Macaca fascicularis: one gene and its partner. The protein of the gene in region 2 interacts with the protein of the main gene of each other region in a biochemical or structural test. Links are inferred from orthologs where the notes say so. Each region holds a gene or a part of one and is shown on either strand. Other genes may lie near its edges.

Evidence for each region.
Region 1: the proteins of AP2B1 (region 2) and CLINT1 form a complex in vitro, tested with the Homo sapiens proteins (2 studies listed by BioGRID and IntAct, with this or other methods). The link is inferred for Macaca fascicularis from reciprocal best matches to the Homo sapiens genes AP2B1 and CLINT1.

The regions. Positions count from the first base shown.
Region 1 is NC_088380.1:164,616,637-164,620,290, reverse strand, and holds part of CLINT1 (clathrin interactor 1), read left to right. Parts: intron 1-1,866; coding exon 1,867-2,044; intron 2,045-2,470; exon of another isoform or gene 2,471-2,577; intron 2,578-3,654. UniProt on the Homo sapiens protein: Binds to membranes enriched in phosphatidylinositol 4,5-bisphosphate (PtdIns(4,5)P2). May have a role in transport via clathrin-coated vesicles from the trans-Golgi network to endosomes. Stimulates clathrin assembly.
Region 2 is NC_088390.1:41,928,227-41,931,880, reverse strand, and holds part of AP2B1 (AP-2 complex subunit beta), read right to left. Parts: intron 1,996-3,654; coding exon 1,774-1,995; intron 1,240-1,773; coding exon 1,119-1,239; intron 994-1,118; coding exon 898-993; intron 1-897. UniProt on the Homo sapiens protein: Component of the adaptor protein complex 2 (AP-2). Adaptor protein complexes function in protein transport via transport vesicles in different membrane traffic pathways.

The DNA.
Region 1 (3,654 bases), on a different chromosome or scaffold from region 2:
TCTTTCCTCTCTCTCTCCTTCTCTTTCTTTCTCTCTCTCTCTCCCTCCCTCCCTCCCTCCTGTCCTTCCTTCCTTCCTTCCTTCCTTCCTTCCTTCCTTCCTTCCCTCCCTCCCTCCCTCCCTCCCTCCCTCCCTCCCTCCCTTTCTTCTCGCTCTGTCACCCAGGCTGGAGTGCAGTGGTGCAATCTCAGCTCACTGCAACCTCCGCCTCCCAGGTTCAAGTGATTCTCCTGCCTCATCCTCCTGAGAAGCTGGGACTACAGGCGGGAGCCACCATGCCTTGCCAATTTTTGTATTTTTAGTAGAGACAGGGTTTCGCCATGTCAGCCAGGCTGGTCTCAAACTCCTGACTTCAAGTGATCCGCCCACCTCAGCCTCCCAAAGTGCTGGGATTAGAGGCGTGAGCCACCATGTCCGGCCAGTTTTGTGTTTTCTCATTCTGACATTAGATAATGTCTTGCCAGTATCCAGTATCTTTAGCACTAATTCAGTATGATACTGACCATGCTAATCAGTTTGGTTTTCATCCACTTCCATTTTTTGCGCAAATGTGTTTCTTTCCAAAGTCTAGTTCATCACACTGTTGTTGAAATGTACATACACATGGTTGGAAAATCACTTATTTTTAAAAAATCATCCTGTTTTAAATTTTGTCTAGAAAACTTCATTTTCTTTTTCTTTAAGTTGGTGGTCACTTCCAGATTCAGTAAATATGTTAAAATCCTTAAACACTTACAGAAAATTTTAGCCTTGCAATTTTAGCAGGCAATTCAGCAGAATGATTTTGTTCAATCTCCAAAGGCTGTGTATCGTATCCTTTTAGATCCTATAAGCAAAAGTTCAACACAAAAGCTTCATTAGCCACTTTTCAGTTATTTTGTTGTTCCTCATTGTCCTTCTTTTCTTCCAACCTGCCTTAATTTTGAATGTTTTCTTTTTTTAAAAAACCTCGCGTGCTCTCTGTACCTTCTACTCTTGCTTCTTAAGTTGAATTTGGACATGGAAATAAAAGAATTTCATTTTGTGTCCGTAATTCCTATGTCTCCTTCAGGGCCCTAAGGGCAAGGACTAAAACAAATCTTGACATTTTGGGTTTTTTGTTTACTGCCAGGATCTATTCTCTGCATTCGCAAATTCACACAGAGGCTCTAGGTTTCGCCAGTCTCTGCATATGTTTGGAATGGATGTTTGAATTGGTTGACACTGTTCTGAACTACTGTTTGAGCATACTTCCTGATTCTAGCGTGTGTAGTTTTTGGTAGTTAGAGTAATCCTTTCTTTGTACGGTAATGACGGAATGCTTTCCCATCCTTTGAAAATTCATTGAACTATTATTTTAGTTTGATACTGAGGAATGACAGTTATTGAGACCGTTTAGCTTACTGGGACATGTGGCATTCAGAGTGGAGTTCCCTCAGATTGTATTTTTTAAGACACTGTTGCTATCCAATACTTTTCTGAAAATTGGGAAACCATTAAGGGACAGGAATAAAATATAACATATTAAGTGGCTTTTGTAAAAACAGAAAGATTTTCATTTCTCTTTTGCTTATATAGCTTGTGTTGGTTTTGTGTTTTCCACTGCTCCTTTCAGTAGCCTTTAAGAATTTCCTGATATGCCGTGCTGTGCATTAAGGTTGTGTAAGTATTCATAAACAAAAGCTTTTGAATCTGCATTCCTGCCACTTAATGACTGGCATTACATGCTATGCCTTGCTGTAATTGTGTTGATTCAGCACTATGGGAGCTTTCTGTTTTCCTTTGAAAATGATTTTATTATGAGGAAAAGCCTGAGAAATAAGGACTTGTAGATACCTTTTGAATTTAATGTCCTTAGAGTTGCTTGTTTTTTAATGCTCTATATAGGTGAAAGATATGATCCTGAGCCCAAATCAAAATGGGATGAGGAGTGGGATAAAAACAAGAGTGCTTTTCCATTCAGTGATAAATTAGGTGAGCTGAGTGATAAAATTGGAAGCACAATTGATGACACCATCAGCAAGTTCCGGAGGAAAGATAGAGAAGACTCTCCAGAAAGATGCAGGTATTTTAACACTTTGTCTCCCAGGTCTCTTAGAAAGAGTCCTAAATTTATGCCACTGGGTTTTTGGTTTTTTGTTGGTTTTGTTTGGGGTATTAACATTATCTGAAATTGGGCCTTTTTTTTTTTTTTAAAATAGACTTCATTTGTTTTTAGAGCAATTTAAGCTCACAGAAAAATTGTGCATAAAGTACAGAGAGTTGCCATATGCCCATTTCCCCTTCATAACAGGTTCTGTGAACATCTTGCATTACTATGGTGCATTTGTTGACAATTGAAAAGTCAGTATTGATACACTTATTAACTAAAGTCTGTAGTTTACATTGGGGTTTCCTATATTGTACACTTCTATGGGTTTTGACAAATGCATAATATTTCTCATTACTGTGTCTTATAGAATAGTTTCACTGCCCTAAATATGCCCTGTGCAGAAATGTGGAACAAGTCTTAAATGTGCAAGTCATCCTTGCACAGGGGGCTTGCTAATCTTCCCTGTATTGTTCTGGTTTTAGTATGTGTGCTGCCGAAGCAAGCGCTGTGTAACTATTTTTAAGATGCTAGGTTATACACTACTTGCAATTAGTATTGACATACTTTCCATGTTGCCAGTGTCTACTTATTTTTGAAGTTGATCCTGTGTATTTTTAGTAGTCTTCCCTTGGATATTTTTTCCCCAGTAAAAACTTGTATAGATTATTTTGCATTTGGACCTTAGATGATCCAGGGACCTAAGATGTTGAGGGATAATGAAGTTTATATATTAAGTTTAATTAAACATAAGTTAAAGGATTTGAAATTTAGTGCTTCCTTGACATTTCATTATGATTCTGTGTCAGTGTGTACCAGAAAAACAATCCAAATGGATTTTGAACTGGTTTTTGAGAGCAGATCTGTATTTTTATAAACTACATTTTCTGATGGTAGGGCATTCGTATTTCATTTTACATGGAACAATACTTTGAACTTTGCAGCAGTCCCTTTTGTTCTTACCTACCAATATAGTTATAAACCAACTTTTCTGACAATATAAAGGGTAATGCATATAGCACTTAATTTACAAAGCAAATTTTACTTTGTAAATTTGACCCTTATCATTTGTGCCTCACAGTATCTACTAGAGTAGCATAAGAATTTTGCCTTTATTGTTTATAAGTAAAACCTAAGATCCAGTCACACTGTGTGGAATTGCCTAAGTAACACAGTTAGTGATGGAACCAAGCCTTCAAGTGAGTTCTCGTAACTAAATACCATCTCTTTTTTTTTTACCTTGTGCCAAAAATCTTAATAATTCAGAATTAGGGATCATTAAAAAGAGACCCAAACAAAAATACAATCTAATTAGTGTATTTTTAGGATATTTTCCTATCTTTTAAATCCCTGGAATGTCTCTTCAGGAAATACCAACAGAATAATGACCATAATTTCAATAATGTTTTCCAAACCAAGCCAAAACTTATACAGGCCACAAAAACATTAATGAAGAAAACAACTCCATATATTTGAAATGGGCACCATTTCCCTCCCAATGTTTAGTGTTTATAATTATCATATGCATACTTTTTCAGTATAAAAAAGCTAGATATATAGTTGTAAAATAGTTTTATTCAAAGTGC
Region 2 (3,654 bases):
AATCTCTCTGAAAATTATCTATATTAATACTAAGTACACGGCTAGTAAGATATGTTAATGTAAAAAGAAAAGAAAAACAAGTTGTGATGTGTGGTGATAGTGGTAATAAAAAAGATGTAACGTATCAAGATCCAATAAAAAGACCTTCCCATTTCTCCAATGAAGAGAAACAAACATATTAAACATCTGAATCAAGTGAGCTAGCAGAACCAGGAATAGAATCCAGGATCAGCTAACTTCTTGCTGTAACAGCCAGTCTACCAAATGATTTATCAACAGAAACTACATAAAGCAGTACTAAATTGAAAAAAACAAAGAAGGCCAATTAGTAGCAGGTATTTCATAGAAGATCCTCTGACACACATCTGCCTCCTTTTGTTGCTATAAAGTACTGGTTAGGCTGGGCATGGTGGCTCAGGCCTGTAATCCCAGCACTTTGGGAGGCTGAGACGGGCGGATCACGAGGTCAGGAGATCAAGACCATCCTGGCTAATATAGTGAAACCCTGTCTCTACTAAAAATACAAAAAATTAGCCAGGCGTAGTGGTGGGCGCCTCTAGTTCCAGCTACTTGGGAGGCTGAGGCAGGAGAATGGCGTGAACCCGGGAGGCGGAGCTTGCAGTGAGCCGAGATCGCACCACTGCACTCCAGCCTGGGCGACACAGCGAGACTCCGTCTCAAAAAAAAAAAAAAAAAAAAAAAAAATTATTCCCTCTGAGAAGAGAGTCTAGGTAGGGAAGGGAGGGACCAGAGACAGCTGCTTTCCATCAAAAATTATTTAACATTTAAATGGTGTGCTTTATTAGTTTGATAAATTTAAAAATTATTTTAAAGAAAAAAGTGAAGAGAACTCTCAGAATCCCCAATACATGATCCTAACTACCATCAGACACTTGCCTCCACCTTGATGGCACACCGTCCAATGGCCCGCACAGCTTTTCGAACAAAGTCAACATCTACCTCTGTGGCATATTCCTTCAGTTCTGCCAGAACCTGTTAAATGGAGGAAGTGGTTAATCATTAAGGATTCTCAAATAGCAATCTCACAGCCTAGCTTCTTTAAAGGCCAGACCTTAAGAGCTAAATCATTATCAACTTGAGTCTGCATAAAGTCTGACCTGAGCAATGTTGGCTTGAGATGCCAAACGAATCATGATGTCCAACTTCTCTAGTTTAACATAGATGGGATCATTGTACTTCACAAAGAAGACTTTGATTTCCTGCTTCAAGATTTCAGGCCTAGGGTACACAGAAACAGAAGAAAGGAAGGTGAAGGCATATACTGATACACCCTTCTGAGACTGTATTAATACCTAATCTGTGCCTCTCTGCTCTCCTCTCGCTCCACTCAGGAAAAAAAAAAAAATGCATAAACTTCCTCTATATGCCTCTATTCTTATCAGTTCCACTTGGCAGATTATTTTTATCCTTTTTAAGCATCAGGGCACACGTTGCCATGAAGTACTGCTAAAAGAACAACAATCTGGCTCTAAACTACAACGTGAACCATATCAACCAGGCACTAGACAGTGTATCAGAAAGAGACCCTTCAGAAAACAAACTGGACTGTGCAGCAACACATGGCATTTATTATAGAAATACTGTGATATCAACTGTTAGCCTCCTGGTGCTAGGCAAGCAAGTTGTTCTGCCATATAACATTTTCATTTCCATATATTAAAAAGAGATTAACACTAGCCTAATTAACATTAACATTATTAAGCTTAATGCAAAATCACAAAGACTTTAATCAACACTTCACTATTTTCCAACCTTTTCTGGACAATTAAGTTGATGTTCCTCAGGGCGACATACTGCACTTCTGGCTCCCCAGACAGCAAAGTGACAAGTGGAGGGGCTAATTTCTTCAGCAGCATATTGTAGTAGTCAGAATCCTTAGGTAACAATTCTAGAAACTTCATTAGGACTTTTACTGCTGAAAGCACCACTGCTGAGTTGGCATGGGATAGCCGGGGAGTTACCCGCTCACATATGCTGAGGGCAAAGAATGAAAATTAATATCATGAATTATAATTTCTTTGCTGAATTCATTCTATAAGGTAATATGTCAGAGTCTAATGACCCAAGTATCAAAAAATTCAAGAATTAGTTAGAAAAGTCAAAGCTCTATGCTTAGGTAAAACTGGGATCTGACAATGCAGAAGCCTCATTCTCAGCAAACTACAGGCAGAGCAGGGACATCAGAAGACTTCAGAAAACCAGCAATAAGGGATGTTCAAACTGGAAAGAAACTAGCATTACCCAAGACACTTGAGCTCACACCATTTACCTTCTTGTTTTATAGTCCTCTTTGTCTCCCCATATTATGTTAGGGCTCCCTGCCTCTCAGCCCATTTCTACTCAACCTATAGGAAGTCAAATTAAGCATTCTGAGAGTTATTTCATAGGAAGTGCCAGCAACCCAGTTATGGCTGAAGATTTCATTGTAAGATACAGAAGGAGGCAGGTTGGTAGGGAAAACAATCCAATCTCCTGTCTTGAGGATAATGAGAATAAGGGACTCTCTGAAAAGGGTTTGTTTTTTAAATAGCAGGACACCACTACTATATTTTCCCATCTCCCTGCTCTCCCAGCCCCTGCCACCTACACTTACATGACTCATAAAATGGTAGATATTTAATTATCTGTTGAGGGTTCTTTAGAAATTAATCCAATTTTGATAGCTTGGGCAACACGAGTAGCTAACTTACTGTATTAAAGAAACAAGATAAATAGGCGGTGTTTCTCTCTTCCTCCTATTCCTGACTTCCTTTGGGTCTTTATACAAATGCCACCTTCTCAGTGAGGCCTTCCCTGGCCATCTTTTAAAAATAAAATACAACCCCCCACCCCCAAATGTCCAGCATTTCTTAGATTTCTTAGATAACGGCACTCTCTACTTTACTTTCTTGTTAGTACTTATCACCATCTCACATATTACATATTAAACTATCTATACATATAATATATTATACTATCTATACATGTTATATATTCCTACCCCCAACCTTCAAATAAGTGATCCCAGAGGGCCATGACTTTGTTCACTGTTGTATCCTCAGGGCCTAGGAACACTGCCTAGCACATAGTATGCGCTTAATAAATATTTGCTGAGTGAATGAATGAATGTGATGTCAATGGCCAACAGAAGAAAACAGTAATTCTCAGTAATTTCCAGACTGTATTTGTACTTTCAATGATGGAAAGAAACTATCAGAGTGAGCTTTAGTTCAGTCTAGAGGGACTATTTCCCAGATAAGTGAAGATCACTTACATTCTAGTAGCTTGGAAATCAGCTTCAGCCAGACCAGTTCTTATCTACCATAATTAAAATATACCAACTTTAATGAAGAGTCAACATTTCTTCAGAAGTACTTTGCCTAGTACAGTGCCTGCATATACAAAATGCTCAATAAAAATTAGAGATAATTCCAACTTTGTAAACTAAAATGTATGTATGTGTAGATGAAATTTAGTAGTCAATTTCTAATAACTAAAGAAAATTTGCAACATTACATGGTAACAGGCTGAGCAGAACAATCTAGGTGTGCCTTCTAAAATCTTCAAATTCAGACTGACATGGTTTCCATATCTAATGGAAAGCAGGATATATTTTGCTGACTTTAACATACTCTCTCTCATACTGAATTATAC